Arabidopsis thaliana: one gene and its partners. The protein of the gene in region 1 interacts with the protein of each later gene in a pairwise test. Each region holds a gene or a part of one and is shown in the gene's direction. Other genes may lie near its edges. The genes, in order: AT1G14990, DiT1, AT1G50290 and ABCG16.

What was found.
Region 2: the proteins of AT1G14990 (region 1) and DiT1 interact in a protein complementation assay, tested with the Arabidopsis thaliana proteins (one large-scale study listed by BioGRID).
Region 3: the proteins of AT1G14990 (region 1) and AT1G50290 interact in a protein complementation assay, tested with the Arabidopsis thaliana proteins (one large-scale study listed by BioGRID).
Region 4: the proteins of AT1G14990 (region 1) and ABCG16 interact in a protein complementation assay, tested with the Arabidopsis thaliana proteins (one large-scale study listed by BioGRID).

The regions. Positions count from the first base shown.
Region 1 is NC_003070.9:5,165,289-5,172,482, reverse strand, and holds AT1G14990 (uncharacterized protein), read left to right. Parts: upstream 1-4,218; 5' UTR 4,219-4,331; coding exon 4,332-4,450; intron 4,451-4,603; coding exon 4,604-4,685; intron 4,686-4,780; coding exon 4,781-4,897; intron 4,898-4,958; coding exon 4,959-4,988; intron 4,989-5,078; coding exon 5,079-5,129; 3' UTR 5,130-5,452; downstream 5,453-7,194. Other genes in the region: AT1G15015 (F-box family protein), read right to left, coding at 1-143; AT1G15010 (mediator of RNA polymerase II transcription subunit), read right to left, coding at 840-1,268; scpl50 (serine carboxypeptidase-like 50), read right to left, coding at 2,536-3,870; CPN10 (chaperonin 10), read left to right, coding at 5,829-5,933, 6,020-6,159, 6,502-6,553.
Region 2 is NC_003076.8:4,057,819-4,066,425, reverse strand, and holds DiT1 (dicarboxylate transporter 1), read left to right. Parts: upstream 1-4,136; 5' UTR 4,137-4,506; coding exon 4,507-5,595; intron 5,596-5,824; coding exon 5,825-6,046; intron 6,047-6,136; coding exon 6,137-6,499; 3' UTR 6,500-6,575; coding exon of another isoform or gene 6,576-6,576; 3' UTR 6,577-6,847; downstream 6,848-8,607. Other genes in the region: MYB46 (myb domain protein 46), read left to right, coding at 1,487-1,767, 2,926-3,487; AT5G12850 (CCCH-type zinc finger protein with ARM repeat domain-containing protein), read right to left, coding at 7,238-8,607. UniProt on the Arabidopsis thaliana protein: 2-oxoglutarate/malate translocator involved with DIT2-1 in primary ammonia assimilation and in the re-assimilation of ammonia generated by the photorespiratory pathway.
Region 3 is NC_003070.9:18,625,075-18,631,819, reverse strand, and holds AT1G50290 (uncharacterized protein), read left to right. Parts: upstream 1-3,367; 5' UTR 3,368-3,557; coding exon 3,558-3,962; 3' UTR 3,963-4,269; downstream 4,270-6,745. Other genes in the region: TAF15 (TBP-associated factor 15), read left to right, coding at 158-262, 373-701, 818-1,015, 1,611-1,694, 2,071-2,152, 2,266-2,389, 2,806-3,002; AT1G50280 (Phototropic-responsive NPH3 family protein), read left to right, coding at 5,528-5,590, 5,676-6,745.
Region 4 is NC_003074.8:20,413,256-20,421,851, reverse strand, and holds ABCG16 (ABC-2 type transporter family protein), read left to right. Parts: upstream 1-2,941; 5' UTR 2,942-3,299; coding exon 3,300-5,510; 3' UTR 5,511-5,669; downstream 5,670-8,596. Other genes in the region: ABCG17 (ABC-2 type transporter family protein), read left to right, coding at 1-1,500; AT3G55080 (SET domain-containing protein), read left to right, coding at 6,022-6,138, 6,467-6,561, 7,020-7,083, 7,188-7,298, 7,401-7,460, 7,704-7,811, 8,298-8,370, 8,509-8,549.

The DNA.
Region 1 (7,194 bases):
TGAATCATATGTCTATCCTTGAAACGTTGTGAGTCTATAGTGGATCTCCATGTGCTACAAACGCATTTGAATTTACGGAGTGTTTTTACAGGAAGTCGTTCAAGAATATCTTCTACCACATGATGAGGTAACGTTACGTCCATTGAATTGTCTCGTCTCTTTTCTATTTGCTACATACTCTTTTGATAACTATCCATTGAGAGTTTATATACACTGCAGCGCGTAACTAGGATAATTTTCAAATATCTTCAATCATTATCCTCCATATTATTTATTATTTATATTTTAGATAATTATATGATTATTTTACTGTTTATTTTGATTTTTGGGTTTTATTATAAATAAGCCGTTTATACATTCTTTTGTATTCAGTTAATTGATTAATTAAATTAAAGAGTTTTTAGAATACTCTTCTCTTTTCGGTAGATCTTGAAAGATTTCAACGATTATAAGAAGACGTAGGATTCGGTATTCGCAGAGAATCAACGAATTCTTCACGTTTTTTCGTTTCTTGTATTGAGAAATCAACAGATCTGAGAGACTCTAGTTTTCCGGTATTCCGAATAATCAACGGATCTCTAGTCATATGAAGCAAGGATTTTCTTCTACTACTTCACACTGATTACTTTTTTTTCCTAAATCATATGAAGTACGGATTTTTTTTATTTTTATTTTTCCAAAAAAGATGAAATTAGGATTCTTTAAACAAAATCATTATAGAATTTCTCAAGGTATTTGTTGATAATAAATAATTCCATTTTAGTTTTGGAAAATTACCTTAATTTCGACATAAAATAACAAAGATAGTTTCTAGATAAAATAACAAAGATATTTACGGATCATACTACGTGAACGGCGTCCAAAAGCCAAAGAGCTAGATCAAGGATGCGAAAAGCAAAAACGGCGGAGGAGACGGGAACGCTGACGAGGAGAAGAAGACACGTTCCAAACGCGACGCTGGGACGAGAGTTCATGAGAAAAGTTTGGAGAAGAGTGAGTGCATCACATATAGTAGCGTCGTAGTTGCAGTAGAAACGTTTCTCCCATTGCATCCAATGAGAAGGAGGTTCAAAGTTGCGTTCAACCATCTTCATCTCATGGATTCGTTTCCTAAGGACCACCATGTTCTCGTCCACCGTTCTTCCTCCTCTGTAGTAGTCTGCACACACGGTGGTGGTTCGTCTTCTATTGGTTCCGGTGGCGATTCTTTGTGATGTCCTCAATGGATGGAACCTGAGTGTCGATGACGAGATCAGTATCATTTCCATTTTCTGTTGCTTAGGAGACACAATTGGTGGGATTATTTATAAGTTATATTTGGATAATATTTAATAAAAACGGCTAAGGCTGCTTTAGCGCGTTACCTTATCGTAATATTGATGGGGTCACCATCGATCACGTTTCCTTACAATTTCACTTTTGTTTCTTCTCAATTTCAGCTTTACACGTCTTTTACAAATTTGTCGACACGGCCAAATAAAAAAACATCAAACATGAAGCTCCGATGAAAAAGATGGATCGGTGTTAAATTGGAGATATCATTAAATGTCAATCCCATTAACGTACTATCCTCATAATTTATCAACCAATAATTATATGTACATTGACCTCTCCTTTGTTTACATCCAAAAAACGTACGAATCAATCCATATGATTAATTAAGGAATCATGGGGTACTCTCATACTTAACATTAATTTAAGAAATAATGGTGAAGTGATGTCTATTTTTTTTGTTTGTTCTAACAATGGTGAGGTCAAACGATGGACATAGATTATACACAGTAGCCCAATGGGCTTAATAGTTACCTAACTCTGAACCCAATTTTTTCTCGGCCCAACTAAAAGGATTATCGTCCGCCCTAACTCTCCTAATTTCGCACTATAAAGTTGCGAGTTTCACAGGTTTTAGCAGGAGCCGTCATTAGGGTTCCAATGAATTTTGTTTCAATTTTTCGATGTTCTGAATATCATTCTCTCAACAATTAGGCGAAAGATTGATTTTCATATGATTAGTAGTTTTCTTTCTGTTTTCCGCGAATGTTTTTCCGAGAAAATTGAATCGGGAAAGAGGCAAAAAACAGGGGAGAGATTTTGATAAATAGCTCTGAAATACCTGTAGGTTTTCTACGGGGTGCCCTTGCTCTTCTTTCCCTAATACCAAAATGGCTTCATAGTACGGGTTTCTTTGTGCTTTCTCTGTGTTTTGTGTATTTTTTATACTCAAATCACTTTGAATCTCATTCACAATCCCGCCTCCAATCGCCATTACATGTTTTTAAAAATTCTTTAGTTTATGCTTCAAATCTCCTTATTCTTACCAAAACAGTTTATCTGAATCAATCCTTAAGTGTATACTGTATGCTAACTTTTTTGAGAAAGTTTAAGACTTCAGGAACAGGCAAATGATAAACTAAGTAGCAAAAGTTACCAATTCGTACTAAAATGAACTTGTGAACATGACGTAACAAATCTAAATCCAGAGTACAATTAGAATCTGAATTGAATCTTACAGAACTAAGTACAAGTACACAATATTTAGATTGAATGGTATAAGCTCGACGAAGTTGTCTGCTTCACATCTTTACCACCGAACAATCCTTTCCCCAAAACCCAACCTTCAATCATATCCCTTGAATTCACAGCTTTATCTGTCGGAACAAAATGACCAGCTCCTGTAACCGCCACGTGGCACAAATTCCCCCATCTCTGAACATAACCAGCGACCACACCGTCTTCATCCTTCCACACACGCCTCTCCGCCGTCGAGAACATTCCCAATCCTGACCAGTTCATAGTCTTCATCCACTCCTCCGTCGAAACGACGCCGTCTCTTAGATCAAGCATACCTTGATACAGCAAGACTTGAGTCCTCTCCAATGCGTACTCCACCATGAACTTTACGCTCTTCATCACGTCTGCCCGCAACACATCTTCTACTTCATCACTACATTCCTCAAAACGAACCGTTTCACTCACTCCCAAAACACGTTTTGCTTCTCTCTGGTTCAAGAGGTCCACCACGAGGTCTGTTCTGTATGGAATCGCCCGTGCCGTGTTGTAGAGCGTCGCGAGTCCTGTCATGTTACTTAGTAGCGTCAACAGTTCGGTCCTCGCGTCTGCTGCTTCACGCCATTTCTGGGACTTCACGAGAGCTACAGATATCTCCTGCGCTTTTTGCAGTTCAACTCTCTGTTTTGCGTTGACCAGACCCGAGTAGTAGACGTTGACCGCATGGGTTTGAACCTGGGTCACCGGGTCGGTCAGCCCGTTTCCAATGGCTAGCCCCTTTAGATTCACTTTCCCATTGGGTTTCTCTTTAAGGATATAGTATCCAATGGCTGGAACGTACTTCCCGGCGTAGCTCTCTCCAGTGAAGTAAACCGGTCGGTTTTCGAAGCTTGGGTTTTGTTCAAGGAACTCCACGAGAGCGGCGTAAAGATGCTCAGCGACCTGTCTCTGATTTGTGGGTATGTCTTGTTGTGAGGCTGCGATGCTGAATCCGACTCCTATTGGGTTATCCACAAAAAGTAGTCCGAATAGACGGTTCCATGCGCCGGGGTTGCGCTCGAGGTCTGTGGCGCGTGAAACTACACGCCAGGGACCGAGCTCGTAAAAGTTGCCAATCATTGAAGAGCAGCCTGGCCCACCTTGGAGCCAAACGAGGAGCGGAGTGTCAGGAAGAGGTGTGGTTGGCTCTTGGGCTTCGTAGAAGGCATAGAACATGGACGAGCCGGGTGCGGGTTTAACCGGGAGGTAGCCAGATTTAGTGGGGAGAGCTTCATCGGGAAATAGCGGTGGCTGAGGAGACTCAACGGAGACGGCGAGGAGGAGAGTGGAAAGCAATATGAAGAGTGTAGTGGCTTGCTCCATTATTTCCACTAATTGGTGACGCCTTTACATAAAGATCCCTTTGTATTATTTCATTTATTTCATTATTTGACTGCAAAACATTACGTTTATGTTTTGTCTTGTATAACATGTGAATTTTTAAATGTGTAACAATAACATTTTTGTCAAGACGTGCTTGCTTACTAACCTAATTGCATTAACATGTGAGTTTTTTAATTTAAAGGTTTTTGTTTGTAGATGATTTTCCATAATGTATATTATTTTAAATTTATTGTTGCCAAAAGAAATAAAATCTAAAAGTTTTATTGGGCCGAAAAGAGAAAAAGGTCAGATAGGCCCATAAAAAGTTGGACAATACAAAGCGTTTACAATTTGTCAATTGCAAATTTCGTGAGATGCTTCTTCTACTCGTCATCTCTGTTTGGTAAAGTGATCACAAGGTGTTCGATATAATACCTGAAAGAGTTTCCGAAGGTGTGAAGATGATGATCTTGGATGTTTGCTCAGAGGTTATAAAGATCCAGAAGCTACGACGGGCTGTCTCTTACGCCGGATTCTACTGCTTCACTGCTGCCCTCACATTCTTCTATACAAACAACACGTAATGTCTTTCGTCCGATCTCAGTTTGCTTCTTTTGGTTGTTCTTTCTTTTCAATATCGGAATTCGCAGATGATTTCAATTTCTGGGTTCTTCTCTTGGTTTCTGCTTCAGGTTTAATTTGATTTAATGTTACTGATTCGAATGTTGTGTAGAACAAGAGCAGGATATTCCAGGGGAGATCAGTTTTATGCATCTTACCCTGCTGGCACCGAACTTTTGACCGACACAGCTAAGGTTTGTCCTTGATGACAATTTTGAGTTGTCGTTTACAGTTTATATAGTTGATTAGTTCTGTGTGGAACTGATGATTGGGGTTTATTGGAGTAAAGCTGTACAAAGCGGCGCTTGGGAATTGCTATGAATCTGAAGATTGGGGTCCTGTTGAATTCTGCATAATGGCTAAGCATTTTGATCGCCAGGGAAAATCTCCATACGTTTACCACTCCGTAAGTTTCTTCAATCTCTTTATGATAATCTCTGTGGTGCGGATATTTTAGTGTTGTAAAGGTCAGTTTCCATAAGTCTAGAATCTTGATGGTACTGACTTTGTGGTGCCATTGATAGAAATGTTTGTCGAATCATGTGGGGTTAGAACCAAGAATTGAGCTCATTTTATTGTGAATGCAGCAATACATGGCTCACCTTCTATCTCAAGGCCAACTCGATGGAAGTGGCTAGTGGCGCCAGCTCTCTTTGTTTCAGCTTTGTGCCTAATCTTGTTATAGCAAATTCGAATCCTGGTATCTTGGAACATTTGTATGGTGTTTGTATAAGTCCGGAACCGTACCATTGGCTTACATGGATTATTCAGATTTGTACTCTGAAAATTAAGAGCATGTAATTCCCGCAGAGGCACAATGTAATAAACATATAGCATAGCAAAGCAACAATCCGGGGAAAAACTTTGGTTACCACCTTGAAAGAAATGGGGAAAACTGACAGAGCAAGAAGCTTTCCATCATCAGCAGAGACGTTTGATAAAAGAAAGGTCAAGATTTCATTCCACGAAAAATCTGCCGAAAATAAACATCTCATTCTGGATGTGGTATATGAAATGGGATTGTACATGGAGTTTGAAAAACTTGGCAAAGAGAATCATGGAAGGAACTAACCATTTGAGCTGCAAGGTCATACAACACTTCCAAGAATTTATTTAGACAAACACAAATGCGACTGGTTTTTTTTAATGAGTGAGGCCCATTAAAGAAATAGTATGATATTATAGGCCCAAACAATCCCAAAACCCTTGGCCTTTTTCTGTCGCGCTAAACCCTACGATCTAGAACCTTCCGTCTTATGTGTCTCTGCCCCAAATTAAAAACTCAGAAACCCTAGAAAATTCCGATTCATCAACTGAGAGAGAAGAAGAATTGAGAAATGATGAAGCGTCTGATCCCAACGTTCAACCGCATCTTGGTGCAGAGAGTCATCCAGCCCGCTAAAACCGAAAGCGGCATTCTCCTACCTGAGAAATCCTCCAAGGTAAAAGAGCTTTGATTTCACGATTTGATTCTTCTGATTTTCGCCTCTTAGATCTGAAAAATAAACATATTTTTGGGTGATTGCAGCTGAACTCAGGCAAGGTGATAGCTGTTGGACCTGGATCAAGGGATAAGGACGGGAAATTGATTCCGGTCTCTGTGAAGGAAGGCGACACTGTTCTTCTTCCAGAGTACGGTGGTACACAGGTCAAGCTCGGCGAGAACGAGTAAGTTAAACCCGCTTCTTTCTTATTATTGCCCTAATATTCTGATAAAATTCTGATCTGATCTAATTGAACCTTTATGTTTAGCTAATCATGTTCAGGAATCATTATCCATTAATTAGATTAATGGATGGAACTAAGGGAATTACTTGTAAGACTGTGAAGATATTGAAAATTTTGTAACAGAGGATTTAAAAACATTTTGATCAATGTTTAATAATGCCAATTTGAACACCAGATTTACATATTGATTGGTGGGTTGATTTTAGAAACGAATAAGAAATTACAAATGAAGAAGAATTTGACTCAAAGTGAGTAACTTTTGTGTTTGTGTGATGGACGCAGGTACCATCTCTTCCGGGACGAGGATGTTTTGGGAACTTTGCACGAGGATTGAAAAGGCTAAGCTTGCCAACTTAACCACGAGGGTTCATGTTGGTGTTTGTGTTATGAGGAGAAGTCATTTATAAATTAGTTTATCTTGAAGATGTGGTTGGACTTTGTTGTCGTTTATCATTGAATCTACCTTTATGAACCTGTCTTTGAATTTTTACAAATGGGCATCAATCACATGGATAACCCAAGTGTTGCATCTTCTCATTTTGTGCTTTTCCGTAATCTGTGGATGCTTTTCGTTTACGTTTAGGCAGCAACTTCAATAGCCAATGTAGACGATAGCTTAGTTGACTTTGCTTATTCATGATCATGCTATAACAAAAGAAATAAGCTCATTTGGCCGCATGGCTTTTTTTATATAGCATCTCCTTCTTCACATATTGACAACTGAATCAGGTCGAGAAGTAGGTCCATGTCTATGCATTCTGAAAGTTGTGTCTTTTGATTTCCTTTTCACAATGGTTGGAAAACTACTAATTTTGGATTTTCAGTTGTTTAACCCACTCGTTTGGATGATAAGACAACTGTAGTATATTGTCTTGTCGCACCTTCAAATTTAGTATAGGTTGGTTGATTGAAAATATTTCATCTTTCTAACCAAAAACTGAAAAATGTGTATGAAACTCATTGCTATTTTTGGAC
Region 2 (8,607 bases), on another chromosome or scaffold:
TGAGAGGTGACACTTGTTTGAGATGGGGAATAGCGGATTAATGTGCTTGCATGACCTTGGTTCTGAATTTTCGATTGATGAAATCTTGCATTTCGTTATTTTCAAACTTTGTCCACGAGTTTTACATAACTAGGTTCATTCAAGTTACAACTTAAATTGGTTAGCTGACGTCTTTTTTCATGCATATACAAGAGGTTGCATTTGCAAGCTTCAAAAGAGATTACACCAAAAACAATTTCCCCTAAAGGTTAAGATATATCTTTGGCCTTCAATTCGACATTAGGAATTATGTTCAAGATTCAAGATTCAGTACTATTCTAACTTCTTTTGTACTTTATCTATGGATGTCTTGTTTATGATTGTATAAAAAGTTTTGTTTTTTCGGATGGGTGGGCTATTAATATTATAAATCATATAATATGAGTGTTCTGTAAAAAAATAAAAATGATATGAGTGTAAATCGAGAACTTAAAAAATCATGACACACGTTTATATATTAAAGAAAAAACGAATATAAAATATATGGATAAAAGGAGTATAACATTTTCTTCATTACAATAATTAGATTTCTTCAAGTATACGTGTTGGTGCGCGAGAGGTGGTTGTGTGAAGCCGAAGCAAAACTTCTTGCTCGCTAAGCCTCATATAACACAAAAAAAGGGTTCTGTGACACACGTCGATTTATTTTATACAATTGAAATATGCTTACATACGTATACAATTAATTAAATAACACAACATTTGCTTACCTTGAAAATGAAGACATCTTTGAATAGAAATAGACATGCTCATGAATATATATATTAATGTTATATACTATCATATATCAATGTTATATATCATATATATACACACGTAAGGTTAACGAATTAGATATGTCTGTAATGTATACCTTGTGAATGAAGAAACTAATAGAAATGAGTTATATATTCAAAAAGAACAAGAAAAGAAGAAAATAAAATTAAGAACAAGTGAAGAGCACTTCTCCTTTTTTTCTTTGATGTTTTGCATATCGGGTCTTTTTCAAAACCGTTTTCGTCCATGACCGATCAACTAACGTTTCTTCATTTCGTCAAATTAGTTATATACAAAACATACATTTGTTGTTGGTGTATTTTATTTTATTTACCTTACACAATATATGCCGACAAAAAAAATGTGTTTAATTTGAAAAAGAGCCAGGGTTCGGATGTTTTTCTTTTATGTTTTAAAACAAAGCAACACTATATTATAAATATAATATATACAATAAAAATATAATTAAGGAATAGAGATTAAAAAGGAAGAAGTGCAAATGGTTTTTCTTCCCAGAATTGTAAGCAAACCATACAACCATCCCTTTCTCATCATCATCATTCTCCCTTCATCAAGTCTTCTCTCTTTTCTCTCTCTATTATAAAACAAACTTCACTCGTTCACATCAATGGATCCTTGAGAAAGACAAACAAATTGAAGAGAAATAATAACAATTAACTCAACCAAAAATATGAGGAAGCCAGAGGTAGCCATTGCAGCTAGTACTCACCAAGTAAAGAAGATGAAGAAGGGACTTTGGTCTCCTGAGGAAGACTCAAAGCTGATGCAATACATGTTAAGCAATGGACAAGGATGTTGGAGTGATGTTGCGAAAAACGCAGGACTTCAAAGATGTGGCAAAAGCTGCCGTCTTCGTTGGATCAACTATCTTCGTCCTGACCTCAAGCGTGGCGCTTTCTCTCCTCAAGAAGAGGATCTCATCATTCGCTTTCATTCCATCCTCGGCAACAGGTTTACATTTTTACCATCATTTTGGTTTTGACATAATAACAACAACTAAGAGATAGAATAAAATATGGAAACTAGTGGCCGGAAGATAAATATAAATGTTCTGGCAAACTAGCTTTTGTCTGGTGAGTCTTGTTTTTAAACTTGTGTAGCTTAATTTGTTTTCGGTTAATGGGTACAAAGTTAAAGCATAGAAAAGCCAGTCAACTGATTTTAAAAAAAAAGTCCACCCTAAAACGACCAAATTGTCAAATTAGATCTTGATAACGTTTTCACCATATTTTATTTGATTTTTTTTTTCTACCAAATAAATAAGAAGTGCAGAGCTATCTATTTAGAGGTATAATATCTATGTTTGTTTTAAGGACGAGTTTTCAATTATACTATTACATTAATCAGTAAAAAGTAATACTATATATATAAGATACGTTAACATCGTAAAATGTATAATCAAACTTACGTGGAAGGATAAAGTTTGGTCGAGTTTTCATTGGTACGATTAGTAACTGTTTAAATTCAAAGGGAAGAATGATTGTGTACGAAGAAAATTGACCCAAAAGAAAGTTGAATTAGAATAATAGTAGTAAGAATGGAAATAGACGCATAAAACCAAAATAGGTATGAGTACATTCACATGTAATTATGTGAGTGGTCAAAGTTCGTTGATCGTGGGTTTTAAGACTTAGAGTGCGTCTTATGATCTTATCTAACAACAAACACTTATTTTAGTGAAAGCGGCTTTTGTCACTTTACACACCTTTTCTTCTCTTCCTTAGGGTTTTACTTCAACTTTCATCTTTGTAATTATATATTTATTAGTTCCTTTTTTTGTCACTTTCTCCAGAAATATACGTTCTAGTGTTTTTTACGCAGGACATGTTTCCTCTCTATTTATATATATATATATATATATATATATATATATATATATATATATAGATTCAATTCAAAACACGCAGTGTGTATAATGTCATTTTATTGCTTAATATGATTGTGCAATTTTATAATTGTTGATATATTGCCTCTTTTTCACGTACTCAAACATAAAAAACATGAAGAACGGATCACTCTCTAATTCCCATGCAAACCATGCACTGGTATACATTTTACATAACATCATCTCATTAAACTATTCTACTCTCTTATTCTTCGATTTCATAGGTGGTCTCAGATTGCAGCACGATTGCCTGGTCGGACCGATAACGAGATCAAGAATTTCTGGAACTCAACAATAAAGAAAAGGCTAAAGAAGATGTCCGATACCTCCAACTTAATCAACAACTCATCCTCATCACCCAACACAGCAAGCGATTCCTCTTCTAATTCCGCATCTTCTTTGGATATTAAAGACATTATAGGAAGCTTCATGTCCTTACAAGAACAAGGCTTCGTCAACCCTTCCTTGACCCACATACAAACCAACAATCCATTTCCAACGGGAAACATGATCAGCCACCCGTGCAATGACGATTTTACCCCTTATGTAGATGGTATCTATGGAGTAAACGCAGGGGTACAAGGGGAACTCTACTTCCCACCTTTGGAATGTGAAGAAGGTGATTGGTACAATGCAAATATAAACAACCACTTAGACGAGTTGAACACTAATGGATCCGGAAACGCACCTGAGGGTATGAGACCAGTGGAAGAATTTTGGGACCTTGACCAGTTGATGAACACTGAGGTTCCTTCGTTTTACTTCAACTTCAAACAAAGCATATGAATATTTTTACGTCATCTTATTCTTTTTTCTATTGCGGTTTATACTCAAGATTCTTAGCCACACACACATAAATGCAAATATATATACATTGTTAGAGAGTATTTTGTATTTCGAATAATCTTTTCGTACTAGGGCTTGAGCCTTGAGGTGCCATGTAATGATTAGTCAATGTAAAACATATATCCTATAATAAATAAATAAAAGAAATAATAAGCACATACATTCTTTAATATAACAGGGGCAAACACTTGAAGAATTTTGTAATCAAGTAGCAATGGAGAAGATTGAACTAATTAAATGAAAGTTTTTCTGATGTTATATCTTTGGATAAAACTGAACATTTTGTTTTATTGAATGTACTTTAAAACATTTGGTAACTTTCTTAGACATTCACATTAGAAAGTATCCTCTTACATAAAAGAATCATGTATTCAATATTTGATGTCACACCTTACTCTAAACAAACAAATCAAAACTATGAACCATATAACACTCAAAGAAAAAAAAACGAGAGGCCGCTTAAGGGTTTACACTAGATTTAATTCCAAGCGAAGCCATCTCGGCCCATCTTGGACAATGTAATGAAAGCTACTATTCTATTGCCAGTTAATCTTTCATTGGACGATCCACTAGTAAACGCATAGTTTAAGATCTTTCAAAACCAAAAAACAAAGCTAATAAATCAATAGAAAATTTGTTGAGTGAAGGATTTTGCTTTGTATGTTTCGTCGATCTAAAAAGACCAAACCCAAACCCAAAATGGCTTTTCGTAAATATTTCAGCCAATAGGATGAGGTGACTGACCCACCAAAGACGGAGATCTCTATTTCTCACCTCACGATCTCATCTCATCATCACTCTCTCTCACTCTTGTCCGTATATTCCTTTTCTTAATCTCACCGTCCGATTCCAATCCAACGGTCAACATTTATCCAACTCTCTCTTTCCTCTTCTTACTCATTTCCTTCTTCACTTCCCTCTCCTCTTCACACCTCTCTCTCGCCGACGACGCTACAACCATGGCGTCTCTCGCTCTCTCCGGCTCCTGCTCTCTCGCTTTCCCTCTCAAATCTCGATCTCTCTCTCTCCCTCGTCCTCCTTCTTCCTCTCTCAATTTGACGAAACCTCTCCGATCTCTCGATTCTCGCTTCTCCTTACTCAAATCTCCACTTCCCGTCTCTTTACGCCGGAGATCATCAACTCTCGTTAAAGCCTCTTCCACCGTCGCTTCAGCTTCCTCTTCTCCAACTCCTCCTTTGGTTCCAGCTCCGGTTCCATGGCAAGGAGCTGCCATTAAGCCTCTTCTCGCTTCGATCGCTACTGGTTTGATTCTATGGTTCGTTCCAGTCCCCGAAGGTGTCACTCGCAACGCGTGGCAATTACTCGCGATCTTCCTCGCCACCATCGTCGGGATCATCACTCAGCCGCTTCCTCTCGGTGCTGTTGCTCTAATGGGATTAGGAGCTTCCGTTCTCACCAAAACCCTAACGTTCGCCGCCGCGTTCTCCGCTTTCGGAGATCCAATCCCGTGGCTCATCGCTCTTGCCTTCTTCTTCGCTCGCGGTTTCATCAAAACCGGTCTCGGTAACCGTGTAGCTTACCAGTTCGTTAGACTCTTCGGTAGCTCCTCCCTTGGTCTCGGTTACAGTCTCGTCTTCAGTGAAGCTCTTTTAGCTCCGGCGATTCCTTCTGTCTCGGCTCGTGCCGGTGGAATCTTTCTCCCGTTGGTGAAATCTCTCTGTGTTGCTTGTGGGAGTAACGTTGGGGATGGAACAGAGCACCGTCTTGGCTCGTGGTTGATGCTTACTTGTTTCCAGACTTCTGTGATCTCTTCTTCTATGTTCTTGACGGCTATGGCTGCGAATCCTTTGAGTGCTAATTTGGCGTTTAACACGATTAAGCAGACGATTGGATGGACTGATTGGGCTAAAGCTGCGATTGTACCAGGACTTGTGTCTTTGATTGTTGTTCCGTTTCTTTTGTATCTCATCTATCCTCCTACGGTGAAGAGCAGTCCTGATGCTCCTAAGCTGGCTCAGGAAAAGCTTGACAAGATGGGACCTATGTCTAAGAACGAATTGATTATGGCTGCCACTTTATTCCTCACGGTAAGTGTGCTTCTGCTTCATCGGATCTGTTCTTACTTATGGTGAGAGCTTGATTTGAAAGGTGCTTCAGTATTGAACATTGAGAGATTTTAGCTATTGTAGCTCCTTAGATTAAGCTAGGGCTTTGCTTCTGTTTAATGCATTTGCTTTGAGTGAAAATGTTTGTGGTTTTGGTGTTTTATTACAGAGAAGGTTTTCCTTTTCTAAAAAAGTGTTCTCCTTGACACAGGTTGGTCTCTGGATCTTTGGAGCTAAGTTGGGTGTAGATGCTGTGACTGCAGCCATTCTTGGATTATCAGTCCTTCTTGTGACAGGTGTTGTGACATGGAAAGAGTGCTTAGCTGAGTCGGTCGCATGGGACACACTCACCTGGTTCGCTGCTCTCATTGCGATGGCTGGTTATCTTAACAAATATGGTCTCATTGAGTGGTTCAGCCAGACCGTAGTCAAGGTTTGTTAAATGATTTGATGAATGCTTAATAAGCCTAATGACTTAGCATGCTAATGAAATGTTTTGACATTGTTTGGGTTTTGATTGCAGTTTGTGGGAGGATTGGGTTTGTCATGGCAGCTATCTTTTGGAATCCTCGTCCTCTTGTATTTCTACACTCACTACTTCTTTGCTAGTGGAGCTGCCCACATTGGTGCTATGTTCACTGCCTTTTTATCGGTTTCAACCGCTCTAGGCACTCCACCTTACTTTGCAGCCTTGGTTCTTGCGTTCCTTTCCAACCTGATGGGAGGATTGACCCATTATGGTATCGGGTCTGCGCCTATCTTCTACGGAGCTAACTACGTGCCGCTGGCTAAATGGTGGGGCTATGGATTCCTGATTTCAATAGTCAACATTCTCATCTGGCTTGGTGTAGGTGGTGCCTGGTGGAAGTTCATTGGCTTGTGGTGAGGACCACCATACACCAATCTTCCCATTCTTTTCCTTACTTATATATATAATCTCTTAGAACGGCTTTGAGATTCAGATTTGAGAAGGATTGAAATCAGGGTTATAAGGATTGAGCAGAGTTTTTCTGCAATTTTTATTCTCACTCACACACATTTTGAAGTGTAAGCAATCTTAACTTGCGTCAATTTTGTTTGATTTCTAACTTTACTGTTTCAAAGTGAGACCACCACTTTACTTGATAGTTACTCGACTTCCATAAACGTGTTAGTTGAGAGATTAATGTCTATTAGTCTATGAATCGCTGGTTAAAGTTTAGTGGAAAAAACAGGAAAGCAGAGAAAGCAATAGGAAATGAATGAATCTTATTAGCTGAAACAATATGTTATTATTTCTCATACAGTGTTCTTTGACAAATATGAAGGAGATATTAGAAACAATTGACAAACTGAGAGGATACAAAAAATGTAAATCAGAAATCCGGGAAGTAATAGAGGCGCACTTTGGCCATTGTTACAACAGAGATGATACAATAATTAATTTAATGAGGTGATAAAAATAAGAAAGTAAAGAAATTTCAGAAAGAAGCCTGAAAAAACTGAGCCTTTTAGGGTTATTAGAATCGAAAAAAGCTTACCCGGAGTTTGCTTTTGTTTCCGTTTGCTTTCTTGAATAATAAATAAACGAATCATCAGTTTCACAGCTTCACAGAAATGTGAACCTCTCTCTCGCAGCTGAGGCTCAGCGATCTAGGTGCAGCTGTTCAAGCCACGCATCAAGAATGTCGCTCTCACGAGTGTCACTGTTGTGAGGATTCACACTCGAACCACCTTGAGTCAATGGCCTTGCACCATTCATGTTCACAACACGGTTTCCGTTCCTAGGTGATGAAGAGTCTTTTAACATCTGCTGAGCCCATGAAACATCTGCTTCCCTGTTTGGGTTATTAGCCAAGGAATGAGATTTTCTCAACCGACCTAACTCATCTGATTGGACTGACCAATCCACCTTGCTTCCATGGGTCTGGTCCCAACTTGACCATGGACTTAATGGCGAACCAGAATCAGTCGGCATTAAATCACGGGGCAGACTAGATCCAAAATCACGGGAGCTTAGGCTGCGTGAATGTAGCTGCTGTTTCATTCGAGCATTCATTGGGGAAATAGGCTCTCCGCCTCGGGGTGACGAGGCTTGCTGCAGAAGAGAATGTTGCTCCACATTCTTTGGAGAAGACATTAGATTTGTCTTGATAGGAGAAAGCATGCTCTGCTTATTATTCTGCAGCTGATTAAGAAGCGCGGACTTGTGGGAAGGCGATAGAACAGATGAAACAGCAAGTTGATCAGAGAAACGAGGAGATGCAACCTCAGCTGAGAAGAGTTCCTCCAGATTTGAAGGGTTCAGTGTCTTAGGACGAGCGGAATGATTCATAAAGCGTGGACTGTGCATATCGCCAGCAAGCTGACGTTGCATTTCAAACTCATGCAGCATGCTAAGCTGCTCAGAAGGAATATCTCTAGCGTTAAGAGAAGATCTCAGACGACTCAACTGGATATTGCTTCCAGGAAGATTCAACGCCGGTATGTTCTGCTGAGGCCAACCCATCGATGAATGGGGCATACTACCATTTCCAGAAGGAGATATTGGTGGGGTGAACGAATGTTGAGCAGCAGATGGTGAGCCTGGTAACATGTTCAAAACTGACGCCATGTCCATAGTAGAGGCGGAAACAGCAGACGAAGCCCGAGGAGATGGCAATCCAGATCCTGTGGAAGGGTACAAGGGACGCAACTCCTCATTTGCGTGAGCAAAGAAGCAAACCCTTCGGTTGCAACCCATTCCGTCCTTGCACAATCGTGTTCTGTACTGAGCAGGGTGTAGCCAGCATTCAAAAACCCCATGAGCATATTCACACATATCACCTTGCTTACAGGATCCTTTCTTAAAATCCGGGCATGGAACACACGTATAGTGAAACTTCCTCGGGTCTCTTCTCCTTGCATTCTCACCTGGGTGTGCAAATGGACATTCAGTCCAGTCATGGGAATATGCTCGAGAACATGGGCGGATCTTGAACGAGAACATACGAAACTCATCGGTTGAATAAATCC
Region 3 (6,745 bases), about 13 Mb from region 1:
ATCTTCTTTTTGTTCTCATGGTTTTTGAGCTCAAAACTTTGGGGTTTCAATGTCTCGATGTTATTTCTTAGCGAGGTTTCAATGTTGGCTAAGTGAAGTTTTGGTATTGTCATTTACAGATTCTTGGCGGCTTTCTTTTTGATGAAATTGGATTACGATGGCTGGATATCCTACTAATGGATCAGTCTACGTTTCAAATCTCCCCTTAGGAACTGACGAGAATATGTTGGCTGACTATTTTGGGACCATTGGGTTGCTTAAGGTATGGTATTGGCCAGGTACTAATTGTTGCTTTTGTTTTGACGTCATTGCAATCTTTTATAGGTCACTAGATTTTCGAGTTTCTTACATTTTTTTCTACATTGCTTTTAGAGAGACAAACGAACTGGTACTCCTAAGGTATGGCTGTACCGGGATAAAGAAACTGATGAGCCCAAGGGAGATGCTACTGTTACCTATGAGGATCCGCATGCTGCTTTGGCTGCTGTTGAATGGTTCAATAACAAAGATTTTCATGGAAACACCATTGGAGTTTTTATGGCCGAGTCGAAGAATAAAAATGCTGGTGATGCAGTTGAGTTTGTTGAATTCGATGGAGGTGCTGAGGAAACAAATGGAGGTGCTGGAAGGGGGAGGGGTCAGGCTGATTCTTCGGCAAAGCCATGGCAGCAAGATGGTGACTGGATGTGCCCTAATACAAGGTCTGTGATGTGATATCGGTGAGGAGCTTCATCTAGCTCTTGTTTCCGTTAATTTGCTAGTTTTTATATATTTTATAGTTTCTAGCAGTAGTGTTCTCATACTCTTTCATTGGCAGTTGTACAAATGTGAATTTTGCATTCCGTGGGGTTTGTAACCGCTGTGGAACTGCTAGACCAGCTGGTGCATCTGGTGGCAGCATGGGTGCTGGTCGTGGAAGGGGTCGAGGTGGAGGCGCTGATGGTGGGGCCCCGGGGAAGCAGCCCAGTGGTGCTCCTACTGGTCTCTTTGGTCCAAATGATTGGGCTTGTCCAATGTAAGCATTCCGATTAGGTTTGAAATAGTTAGTTCAGTTTCAGAGGATAATGAGCGTTTGGTACTTGATTAAAACACATCGCAAGAAACAATTTATATTCAGTAGCAAAAGAGAACATTCAGATGGCATATAGCGTTGCTGGATATAAAATTAATTTGTCTTATGTATGGAAGGAATATAGCTTGTATATCAATGCTTTTGATGATGTCAGTTGACTCTTTACTTAGAAAGAAGTGATGGCCCGCTCTGCTGTGCTGTGTCTCTTAAACTGGTCCAAATTATGTGTGGAGGCACATATTTTTTCCTTCTTTTTTGAATGTTGATTCTAATTTCGTAATTTTCCTTCAGATGGCTGTTAATCTGAAAAATGTAATTTGAAACGTGGGTAGGTTGTAGTCTTGATCCTTCTAAGAAGTTATATTTGTGAAGATAGGCTGCCTTCAATTTTCTGTGTCTGATACAAAAAATGGACTATGTTTTAGTTTAATTGCAAGTTATGCTATGTGTCATCGAGTAGCTTAACTAAGAGGCTGCACTGTGTGAATGTGAGTTCTTATGCATAATGCACTTTTTCTTTTTGCGCTAATTCTTTCAGGTGTGGCAATGTCAACTGGGCGAAACGTCTAAAATGTAATATCTGCAACACCAATAAACCTGGTCAGAATGAAGGTGGTGTGAGGTATGACTCAAAGCCAGTGATAAGATTGCCTTTGTATTGTTATCTTGCAATGTTCGAGCTGAGGATTTGGATTATAAATGATTTTACAGTGAATGTAGGAGAGGTCGTAGATTTTCTGTTCGATGTTTGTAGTTTTGTTGTCAGCAGGGTATATTTATTCTGCTTTTAGACAGGGCCTAATAGATACCTGGGAAAAAGTCTCAATACTCTCTTCTGCAATTTGAACGAGTGCTTGTTTTCTTCGACAATTGATTTATCCCACTTGTAATGTTTTATTTTGGCCAAATTAGAGTTGCATTAAGAAACATTAAGGTTTGAGTTTGGAAGGTTGTTTTTATCTAGACCAGTGCTTATTCATTTTTTTTTCTCTAAATAGGGGAGGCCGTGGTGGTGGTTACAAGGAATTAGATGAACAAGAATTAGAGGAAACGAAGAGACGCAGGCGTGAGGCTGAAGAAGTAAGATATGCTTTTCCTGAAGAGTTCTTTGTTTTTTGTTTTTTTGTTGCAATTCGGATGAGCTCTCAGTTTTTTGTATATTCCATTTGACTTATACGTCTAATATATTTCAGGATGATGGTGAAATGTATGATGAGTTTGGGAATCTAAAGAAGAAGTACCGTGTTAAAACAAACCAAGCTGACACCAGACCTGCTGTTGCTGCTGGTCGTGCTGGGTGGGAAGTCGAGGAACTAGGTAAGTTCTGTTTAATTTTAACTAATATGAACTAAATCTATGCAATCATCAAATAGGTTGAGCTTATGAACAGAACCTTTCCACTATAATAGAGATTTATTTGGCTCGATCTATATCTACTCTCTGTGTATAGTCTTCAAAGAAAGTTTCTGCTTGTCATCTAGACACTTGAGTGAAACTTAACATATATGCGGGGAGGGATTTGTTTGAAATTTTACATTAAGCTTGCAGCTAACTTGCCTATAGCCCAAGCCTAGTGGGGATCTCCAATAAACAGTGTTGTTCCTTGTTAGAGTTTTCTTCTTTTCACTGAATAGATATAGAGGAAGATAGAAAAGAATGTTTATTGCTGCTTCCCCAAAAATAGAAAGGTCATGATCCAATGTAGTTGTTCATAATTTATATGAATGTGGCAGGTATTGATAAAGATGGAAGAGAGAGAAGCAGAGACAGGCAAAGAGACCGTGGTAGAGATCATCACTACGATAAGGATAGACGCAGAAGCAGAAGCCGAGAGAGGGAAAGAGGCAAGGAGCGTGACTATGACTATGACCATGATCGGGACAGAGACAGAGACTACGGTCGCGAACGTGGAAGCAGGTACCGTAACTGAGAGATTACTCATAAGTGTTAGGGTTTAGTTTCTCATCTGTTTTGTCGACTTACTTTTACAACGGTATCATTACAATGTCTTCGCCTTTTGTTTACTTATTGTGTGAAGTGAAACTCATTTTGGTTTGAATCAATGGCTATTGTTTTTCACTTGTTTTGGTCTGATTATGTTCTGAGAATACTCCATGTTTATCGTTTCGAAAATTGGTAATTATGGCAAAACATGGTTAGCGACGTCAATTGCTAATTTAGACGTGTATTAAGTATTATTTTGTCTTTTGTAGTATTATTTTTAGTTGTCCCTTTGTTTTTTTTTCCATCGCCAATCATTTCATCGCTGTATGATTTTAATGGGAATAAAAAAAATAGAACAAGAAGATTTTTGTGGACAATATAGTTTCTGAAACTATAATAGGATAAGAAAAAATTAAGCTTATTTGTGGGGATATATATTAATGTCATATCATTGTCATAAACATGGTCGGCAAAACTTGGGACGGCAGTTTACCAGAATAATCCGGTCGACAGAATTCAACAGTTCCTCTCTCTAAAAGATATGAAGGAGATTAATTTTGGCTTTGTTAGCAAAGATGGCCGGTCCTCTTCTGGCAAATCCGGCTTTTACAAGCGGTTTTGGCCGGCTTTTATCCTTCCTCCGCCGTTCGATCGGTTGTTCTTACCGATTGCTTTAGTTTCTTTTTCAGTTTTTCTTTCAATAATTTCTAAAGATTTCAATTGGAGATTAATTTTAGGTCATAATAGCCTAAGATTAAGTTTTCGGATTTGTATCTTTAGAAAGTTTGATTTGCAGAATTACCTCAAGTATGAAAGGAAGTTTTGTTTCCAGCATATTGGGATTGCCTGTAGCCGTTTCTACATGTTTATGGAGCTTCGATCGATCAAATTTGAGGAATACTCAGATTTTTCTTTCCTCATTACCTGTTTTTGCCAAATCTCTTGATTGATGATTTTGGAATTGAATTCTCTGTTTGTGTATCCTCCCTTCTCTGTTTAGCAGTTTCCGGTGAGAAAAAAACAAAAATCGATGTTTGCCCTTTTTCGACGTTGATTGTGTTCACCGGATCGGAGTCTTTGACGGCACAGGATGACAGGAACGTTTCATCGCTTCTCTTGCAACACGTGTCTTGTTATACGATCGTGTTTTGTTAAAGAGATATCCTTCCTTTAAAGAAATGTAACTAAGTGGACCTTTGTTGGGCTGTATTCTGTGGATCATTAATAAACATAATCTTTCCAGTGAAAAAAAAAAAAAAAAACATGGTCGGATATGGGAAATACGATGAAAAAAGCTCGTCATGGACTCGCACTTAAAACAGGAAAATCTTTTTCGTCTAGACCCCACTTATTCACATGCACTACGACATAATTCCAAATTCTTTTAAAAAAAAAGAAGAAGTTAATAGAAAGAGTGACCAAAGTACAGTATATGATGATATTTATAACATACAGTTAAACTTCTATAAATTAATAGTCGATAAATTAATAACCTTTATAAATTAATAAATTTTTCCAATCCCGAATTTGTACCAGTGTAAAAAGTGACACAAATCGATAAATTAATAAGATAATAACTTTTTTGAAAGTTCTATGTAAATATATGGTCCCATCAATATCATAAATTAATAATTGTATAAATATATCAATTATATATATACATTATATGTAGGAATTTTTCTGAAATATAATTCTAATATTTTTTTGCTTAAATTTGTATTTATTTTTATTTAAAATTTAGTTCTCGTATTTTACTGTATCAAAAACTTTTGGTGTTGTTTTCTAAACATGATATTATTGTTTAGTTGTAATTGATTCTTGAAAGATATTTTCTATAATGAAAAAAATCCTATAATTTTTTTTGAAAAGTTACTAAATTAGGAAAATCTCTCTATAAATTAATAAATATTAATTTATCGATAAATTAAAACCTCTCTAAATTAATAAAATTTTGTAGTCCCAACATTATTAATTTATAGAGGTTTTACTGTATGTTGTGTTTAGTAATGCTGTATTAATTTTTTTAGTGACCTTTCAAACACTTTGAAGTTTTGATATTCATGTTTGAGTTTGAAAAGCTCATGTACAATATGAACCGAATACTTGACAGTGAAAAATAATTATCATAATTTCTTAAAAGTCAATCCTTCTCAAAGATATAGGAATCAAAATTCTACAGCATTCTTTTAAAAACAACATAACAAGACAAACAAAAGAAATCAATTTATGGGAATTTGAGAGACTTTGGAATTTATGTGGTTTTATTATACTAGCTCAACATAAACTTTGTCTTACTTACCTCTAATTTCTCAAACTTAGATTCAGTTTATATATTTTTGTGCATTTTACAGGTGTAAATAAAGCCAAATGAAACACTATATATATCCACTCATTTACATGTGCCCACTATAATTATTGCTCTATTCAATCCAAGAAAAAAACACAGAGGAAGAACAGAAAAAAGCTCACAAAGTCACAAGACCTCAGTAGGCTTCCTAGTTGTTCTATGAAATGTCTCCTCTCAACGATCTTAAGATCAATCTCAATGGCCAATACACATTCTTCCTCAATCAGGTAAAGAACCAAACCTAAAACTCAGTTCAAAAAACCACAGTCTTGATTATGCTCTGTTCTTAATTCTCTATGTGCTCTGTTTTAGAACGTGATTTCAAAGTACTCTGGAAGCTTGAGGAAGATGATTAAACAGAGCAAAAAGAAGAGAAACAAGAAAAAGAGAATCATCACTATCGAGATTAATGATTTTCCAGGAGGACCAGATGGGTTTGAGCTGGTTTCAAGGTTCTGTTACCACAACGGAGAAATCTTAATCGACGTCTCAAACGTCTCGACTTTGTACTGCTGCTCTGTTTTTCTAGGCATGTCGGAGAAGTTCTGTTTCTCTAATCTCTTCCTTCAGACAGAGAAGTTTCTAGAAGAAGTGTTCTATGGGTCTTGGAGCGACATCGTTTCGTGTCTCAAGAACTGCGAGCAAGTGTTCTTCCAAGCAGATTCGTATGGTCTTGTAGATAAACTCATTTTCGCAGCTTTGAACAAAATCTCTCAGAATTCAGACGATTTTTCTTCTTCTTCGCTTTCTTCCTTCGCCTCTTCTCTTTCTCCTGAGATGGCCAAGAACACGTCAGAATCAGACGGTAGGTATATTTCGCGGTCTGTTGCTTGCGGAAGAAGCAACGAGTGGTGGTTCGAAGATATGACAAATCTTTCCCCGAAGATCATATTGAAGCTAGTTATGATCATTGGAGCTTACAAAACCAACATAAAAAGCTTAGTCCTAACCAGATTTCTTCTCCATTATCTCAAGACAAAACTCCAAACCAAATCAAGAACTACCACTGAGCTTATGAGGAACAAGCTCGAGTACTCAGATTTAGCTGACACAGCGGTTAGAGGAGTGATTTCCGCAGGGACACGTACGTTTTCTTGCAGGAAACTCTTCTGGATTCTTCGAGTTTTATCCAGTTTTAGCCTAAGTAGAGAGTCAAGAATCGGTTTAGAAACCCTAATAGGAGAAATGCTGGAACAAGCAACACTTGATGATCTTCTGATATCTGCAAGAGGAAGCAGAGAAAGTGGTTTCTACAATGTTGATCTTGTGATAAGATTACTAAAAGTATTTGTGAAGAACAGAGAAGAAGAAGAAGAAGAATCAAGAGAGAGGAATATGAAAGAAATTGGGAAATTGATTGATAAGTATTTGAGAGAAATATC
Region 4 (8,596 bases), on another chromosome or scaffold:
AAAAACACTGTGATCGGAGATGAAGGCCATCGTGGTGTCTCCGGGGGAGAAAGAAGGCGTGTATCAATTGGGACCGATATTATTCACGATCCTATAGTCTTGTTCCTCGACGAACCAACCTCAGGACTAGACTCAACTAGTGCCTTCATGGTGGTGCAAGTCTTGAAAAAGATTGCACGTAGCGGCAGCATCGTAATTATGTCAATCCATCAGCCTAGTGGTCGGATTATGGAGTTTCTTGATCGTGTAATCGTCTTATCTTCTGGCCAGATTGTGTTTAGTGATTCTCCTGCTACTCTCCCTTTGTTCTTCTCGGAATTTGGTAGTCCCATACCGGAAAAAGAGAACATTGCGGAATTCACACTTGACCTAATCAAAGATCTTGAAGGATCTCCCGAAGGAACAAGAGGTTTAGTCGAATTCAATCGAAATTGGCAACATAGGAAGCTAAGAGTTAGTCAAGAACCTCACCATAACTCATCATCTTTGGGAGAAGCCATCAATGCAAGCATTTCAAGAGGCAAACTTGTCTCTACTTCATATAGATCTATTCCTTCATACGTAAATCCATGGTGGGTCGAAACCGTAATCTTAGCTAAACGCTACATGATAAACTGGACCCGAACGCCCGAGCTTATCGGAACACGAGTTTTCATAGTCATGATGACCGGTTTTCTCTTGGCTACGGTTTACTGGAAAGTAGATGACTCTCCTAGAGGCGTCCAAGAAAGGTTAAGCTTCTTCTCCTTTGCAATGGCCACAATGTTTTACAGTTGCGCGGATGGCTTACCCGCTTTTATCCAAGAAAGATACATTTTCTTAAGAGAAACCGCGCATAACGCTTACCGAAGATCTTCCTACGTTATATCTCACTCTTTAGTAACTCTGCCTCATCTCTTCGCACTTTCCATAGGCTTTGCAGCGACCACGTTCTGGTTCGTTGGTCTAAACGGTGGTCTGGCAGGTTTTATCTACTATCTTATGATCATCTTCGCGTCCTTCTGGTCAGGATGCTCGTTTGTTACATTTGTCTCCGGTGTGATTCCAAACGTGATGATGAGTTACATGGTCACCTTTGGCTATCTCTCATACTGCCTCCTCTTCAGCGGATTCTACGTCAACCGTGATCGAATCCATCTTTATTGGATATGGATTCATTACATTTCTCTGCTAAAGTATCCCTACGAAGCTGTTCTGCACAACGAATTCGATGATCCCTCCCGTTGTTTCGTGAGAGGAAACCAAGTGTTTGATAATACAATAATGGAAGGAGTATCTGAAACGACAAAGGCTAAGCTTCTGGAGACAATGAGCGGTTACTTGGGGATGGAGTTAACGGAATCAACGTGTTTGACGACGGGCTCTGATTTGCTTAAGCAGCATGGAATTGAGCAGCTGGATAAATGGGGTTGCTTGTGGGTAACGTTAGCTTGGGGATTCTTCTTTAGGATCTTGTTTTATTTTTCGTTGTTGCTTGGAAGCAAGAATAAGAGGGCGTGAACGCCATAATGTAAATTTTTCCGAAACAGAAATTTTATTGTGAAAGCAAAATTGTCTTTTTGAATTTGAGATATTGATGATATATGTTGTATAATTATTATTTTTTTCTTTCATAGCTATCATATATTGTCTAAAGAAAGAATCGTACATCTAACATTTTACATGATGTTAGGTTCACAATTTTATAAAGGACTAAGATTTTAGTTTAATTCACAATTGGTAATGTTTTTAACTTAACAATATGAACTACATCAATAGTTTAAAGTTCAAACTAATATAAAGATACCACAAGCTACCAGTGAAGTAATTTAGTAGTTTTAATGTGCGTGTGAGCTATATGCCATCTTTCGTGGTCGGTGTAAACATAACGTATTTGACAAAATTCAAATTGCATCACTTTTTAAAAACAAAAGTATATACAACTAAACAGTTGGTCGAAAATAGAATTCAAAGTAGCCAACTTTCTTATAAGCTTTATTAGATGGTATTATAAATCTTTGACCCTTTTCTTATGGCGGTAAGGAAGACTACAGTAGGTAGAAGTTAGTCACCTAAACTTCAAAATGTCAACCAAAAAGATGTAACAGTGAAGTCAAAGTTTAGGATTGGAAATCCAAGAAGCTAAGCCAGTACGTCAATTTTGCTTTCATGTTACCATTGTGTCCATCACTAGAAGTTTGACCAAGTACTACTTAAGAGGAAGTTGCCTAACCTTTTGATCTGTTTCTTCTTTCCCTGGATGGATCAAAGACATCACTATTTTTACTTTCTTAACAAATAGTATTTGAAATGTGACACCATCTTTATGATTCTCGTGTAATTTTCGCATGCATGTTTAATTTTAGCAACAAACTTGACGATTTTTATTATATTTCTCTTAAACCACCACTCCACCCTTTACAAAACAAAAAGAATGTTTTATCAGCTTCTGTATACTGTGAATAAAACAGAGGAAACAAAGACCAAACACAATATTTGAGTTTGGTAAAGAATGTTCCACCGTTACCAACTAAATAATCAAGAAATAGAAAAAATGAACTTGGAGATTGTGTGTAGTCTTTCATAGCAAAAACAGGAGTTTATATTCCCAAACTAAATACAAATCTAGCTACTTTATCAAATATAACTTTTATATTATATTTGGTAGAATTAGTTGGGGTTCCGGAATTATTGCAATTTGCAACTTTTAGGCAGTTAGCAGCATAAGCAATCGTCTTCGGTCGCGAAAACAAAAGAAAATGTGAATAGTTTATCTAGGTACACATTTGCTTGCGATACAAACAATCACTATATCGCTACCAACATTCGAAGAATCTTTTAAAAACATTAATTAATTGACCAAACACTATGTGAAACGCAAGAAATATCTCATCTCAATCCTATATACTATCTATACCTCGGTTAGATCAACACCCTTCACCTAATTCTCCATTCTAATCGCCACGTGTCAGCCATTTCTACGTATTTTAGTATTATCACCTTGGAAAATCTAGATTTATTGGTCATCCCATTACCTCTCCCTAATTGAATACGAGAAATCCAAAACGCATTTTCCATCCAAACGCTAAGAATATTATTGTTAACAACACAAACCTAACAGATTTCTCATGATGATGCAACTCATTCAACACATAGAACCTTCGTGTTCACACGCTTCCACACGTTACTTCATATATATAAGGCCTATACACAGATACTAGCAAAACAGAGAACAAAGACTAACATTTTGATCATGCAAAGAGTGTTTTGATTTTCAAGTGTAAGCACATCATTTCTCACTTTACCATCTTTTGTTCTAAATGTCTCGCATACTAGTAGAAGATGATAATGCAACACCGTTTCATTCCATGGAGATTATTAGCTCATCTTTGACTTTAGGCCAACTTCTCAAGAACGTTAGCGACGTTCGTAAGGTTGAAGTTGGTGACGAAACTCCTGTTCATGAATTCTTTGACAGGGATGGTTCTTCACTTGACGGAGATAATGATCATCTTATGCGTCCTGTTCCTTTCGTTCTATCTTTCAACAACCTTACTTACAACGTCTCTGTTCGCCGGAAACTTGACTTTCACGACCTGGTTCCATGGAGGAGGACATCTTTCTCCAAGACCAAGACTCTTCTAGACAATATCTCCGGTGAGACTCGTGACGGAGAGATTCTTGCCGTTCTTGGAGCTAGCGGGTCAGGTAAATCCACTTTGATCGACGCTTTAGCGAATCGGATCGCTAAAGGAAGCTTGAAGGGCACGGTAACGCTTAACGGAGAAGCTCTTCAATCTCGGATGCTGAAAGTTATCTCAGCTTATGTAATGCAAGACGATCTTCTCTTCCCGATGCTTACTGTGGAAGAAACCTTAATGTTTGCAGCTGAGTTTCGATTACCAAGAAGCTTACCTAAATCCAAGAAGAAGCTTCGAGTTCAAGCCCTAATCGACCAGTTAGGGATAAGAAACGCTGCTAAAACAATCATTGGAGACGAAGGACACCGTGGAATCTCCGGTGGAGAAAGAAGGCGAGTTTCGATCGGAATCGATATCATCCACGACCCGATTGTTCTCTTCCTCGACGAACCTACTTCTGGTTTAGATTCCACAAGTGCTTTCATGGTGGTTAAAGTATTGAAGAGAATCGCAGAGAGTGGCAGTATCATTATAATGTCAATACATCAGCCAAGTCACAGAGTTCTCAGTTTACTTGATCGTCTTATCTTCTTGTCACGTGGACACACCGTCTTTAGTGGTTCTCCGGCGAGTCTACCGAGCTTTTTCGCCGGGTTCGGTAATCCGATACCGGAAAACGAGAATCAAACGGAGTTTGCACTCGATCTAATCAGAGAACTCGAAGGATCAGCTGGAGGAACAAGAGGATTAGTTGAATTCAACAAGAAATGGCAAGAGATGAAGAAACAGAGCAATCCTCAAACCCTAACTCCGCCGGCTTCTCCAAACCCAAATTTAACCTTGAAAGAAGCGATTTCCGCCAGCATAAGCAGAGGAAAACTAGTCTCCGGTGGCGGCGGTGGTTCCTCCGTCATAAACCACGGTGGCGGAACCTTAGCCGTCCCTGCATTCGCGAATCCGTTCTGGATCGAAATCAAAACTCTCACCAGACGCTCAATCCTCAACTCCCGACGACAACCGGAGCTACTCGGAATGCGATTAGCCACCGTAATCGTCACCGGATTCATCTTAGCCACCGTATTCTGGCGATTGGATAATTCACCAAAAGGAGTTCAAGAGCGGTTAGGGTTCTTCGCATTCGCAATGTCAACAATGTTCTACACTTGCGCCGATGCTCTTCCCGTGTTCCTCCAGGAACGTTACATCTTCATGAGAGAAACAGCTTACAACGCTTACCGGAGATCCTCCTACGTTCTCTCTCACGCCATTGTTACCTTCCCTTCGCTCATCTTCCTCTCTTTAGCTTTCGCAGTGACGACGTTTTGGGCTGTTGGGCTTGAAGGAGGCCTAATGGGCTTTTTATTCTACTGCTTAATCATCTTAGCCTCTTTCTGGTCCGGAAGCTCCTTCGTGACTTTCTTATCCGGCGTCGTTCCACATGTGATGTTAGGCTACACGATCGTTGTTGCTATTTTAGCTTACTTCTTGCTTTTCAGTGGCTTCTTCATCAACAGAGATCGAATCCCTCAGTATTGGATTTGGTTTCATTATCTTTCTCTGGTTAAGTATCCATACGAGGCGGTTCTTCAGAACGAGTTCTCGGATCCTACAGAATGTTTTGTGAGAGGTGTTCAGCTTTTCGACAACTCGCCTTTGGGAGAATTGACGTATGGGATGAAGCTGAGGCTTTTGGATTCTGTGAGCCGGTCGATAGGTATGAGGATATCGAGCTCTACGTGTTTAACGACGGGTGCTGATGTTCTGAAGCAGCAAGGAGTGACACAGCTTAGTAAATGGAACTGCTTGCTTATCACGGTAGGTTTCGGATTCCTATTTAGGATTTTGTTTTACTTGTGTTTGTTGCTTGGGAGCAAAAACAAGAGGAGGTGAAACTGAAACTACTGATGATACCTAAAACCAAAAACATATATTGTAATTCTTTTTCATTACTTGTAATTCGTAGATTGATTGTGTATTTGAATTGTATTCTTTTTAACATTTGTATTACTTTTGCCATCAATAAAAAAAATATCATTCTTTAGGAAATTGGAAATACAAAAAGCACCTATGAATCGCTTTTACTCAGAAAATTAATGCAACATTTCAAATAGAGGCATTGAGATTGTGGAAGAAAAATGAGGAGACACAGACACTGTTGCTAGAGGCAAGTAACTCTCAAAGCCATTTCACTTTGTAAGGTATCAAAAAGTCAAAATTGGAAGGCTATCTACAAAATCAATTAAAAACAAACCGATTTATCTGAAATTTAAAACCGAAACAAACCGGACCGAATCAGCATCAGAATATCGTCTGGTCCTGGCCGCTCTGCTCTAGCCGCAGTCGAAACACGAGTCCATAATACGAGCGGTGGTTGCTCACGCGCCATCCAGTTTGGCTGGAGATGCTATTCTGCATTTCGACAGTGAAGCTTTTCGGGTTTCAACAAAGGCGCAATGTTAGCTCTTTAGCCAAGCGTTTCAGTCTCGCCGGGAAACTAACGTTAGAGCTCCAAACTCAGGTTTGATTTGTGAAAGATTGAGACTTTCGTGAAATTTGTGAAATCAATGTGATGGACTGTTCACAGCTTGATTATCTCAAGTGTTAGAAAAGTTTTATCATACCTGAGTGTGGTTCCAAGAATTTTTCTAAGTTATGTATGTTTCTCCTCTACTGATAGCAATTGATACCAAAGATGAAACCTTTATGTTCTTTTAGCTTCTTCTATCTATAGTTAACCAAACAGACTGTTGATTTTGGGAGCTAATTGATGTAAGAAGATGTTGTACAGAACTTTTATGTCTCTCACAAAAGAGGATTTACGATCATCTTATCCATTTTATATCTAGGCTTCGTTGGACAATAACTTCTTACCCTGGTTAGAGCGAATTGCTGGAGCAAAGATAACTAATACTCTTTCGATTGGGAAATCCACCTATGGCAGGTGGGCTTGATGATGTTTTGAATAAGATGCAACTTTGCAAGTATTTTTCAAAATCCGTTTTTCGAGTACCTCGGTTTTCTGTTTACCGGCAATTAAAATATGGATTGTTAGACACATTTTCTCTATTCAATAATTCTATTCATAGTTCCCTTTCAATGTAATGATCAGATTCTTTGTTGATACCTTCTGTGGCAGCTTAATTTTTATATGACTTGTCTTGATGTTCTTTAATATGGTTCTGTCTTGTCATCAATAGTTGAAACATTGTACAACTTTGAATCATGTTATTTTGTCTTGTTTAGTAATCTGATTGTTTTCCATCTTTATGCGATTGTTTAATGAGTGATTGTGAGAATAACCAATTTCATTTCCTACCAGAGGCTGTCTCCTGGTGTGATGCTTTATCTTTAATGTCAAATACACTAACCATGTTAATAACTATATCAACTTCTGAGCAGGTCACTGTTCGCCTCCAAAGTTATCTATGCTGGTGACTGCATGTTGAAAGTCCCTTTTAATGCGGTATATTGTTGTCTACTGAAACGAGCTTTTCTGTTATCATGTGTCTTAAGAAGTATTGGAAATTCTTTTTATGCCATTAGTGTTGTTCTAACTTAAAATTTCAGCAAATAACTCCAGATGAGCTCCCCTCGGATATTAGAGTTTTATTGAGCAATGAAGTTGGGAATATCGGAATGCTTGCTGCTGTTCTAATAAGAGAGAAGAAAATGGGTCAAGTAAGCTAGGGCATCAACATTTGAGTAATTGACTTAAAATAAGTCTCCCATTTCATGTGAGTGTTTTGGTTTTGACTTAGTCTCTGATTGCTTTTGAATCAGAAGTCTCGATGGGTCCCTTATATCAGCCGACTTCCTCAACCTGCAGAGATGCATAGCTCGGTGAGATTTCACTCTAGTTATTATGTCATATGTTCGAGTCTTGAATTTTTGTTTTGGCCACTTCTTTAATGTGTGTTATTTTACCAAAAGAGATATACAAATATAAATAGTTATAGTTTAAGATATGATCCATATAACCTGGTACGCAAAAAGCTTCTTAATTGCCTTACTATCAATTTTGTTGCCTATGCTATCTTGGACAATGCAGAATAATAAAAAAAAGTGGTTTCCTTATTCTCTTAGATATTTTGGGGTGAAGATGAGCTCAGCATGATTCGTTGTAGTGCAGTTCACCAGGAAACAGTAAAACAAAAAGCTCAGATAGAAAAGGACTTTTCATTTGTAGCGCAGGTAAGTATGTTTTTCTAGTGATACTGGTAACTGTTTGGTTGGGTTCCTAATTCTTTAAAAGGCCTTCAAGCGACTGCTTATGTACCGTTAAGAATAGTGTATGAACCCATAAGACAGGCACACACATATAGACTAAATAGTTACAAAACTTATTTGTCTTGTCTGTTTGGTCTCGTGGTGATATCAGACCTTTTGATTGAGAAACCGAGTTGGGTCTATCAAGGTGCTATATTACCTGTGTATATACCGCTGAAAAATTATTTACGGTTTAAATTTTGAATTATCTTCTTCAAGTTTTATACTCCAGTTCATAACAAGTCTTAGCATATTACGAAGGCTACTATGATTATGTCCTATGTCAAGCTAACCAAGTACGTAGTATACATATGTCATATGTGTATGTTTGGTAGATGTATTTCCATGTGTCGAATTTATTTTTCATCTTAGTGAATAAGAGTTCTAAAATCACTTTTTGGTGATTCTTAGGCATTCAAACAACATTGTCCCATAGTAACTGAACGCCCAGATTTGGAAGATTTCATGTATGCATATGCTTTAGGTGAGAAAGTTACTTCACAAGTATTCATTTGGCTCTATATCTGTTTCTGGTGTTACTCAACCATGTACAATCTCTCATAAGGGAGGTTTTATGCATTGTGTTGTTCTTACTCAATCTGGATAACTTGTTGCTGGACAGTGGGATCTCGTGCGTGGGAAAACTCAAAACGCATATCACTGGTATTGCTTTCAATTTAGCTCTGGCATCTTTCCAGATTACTTATGGT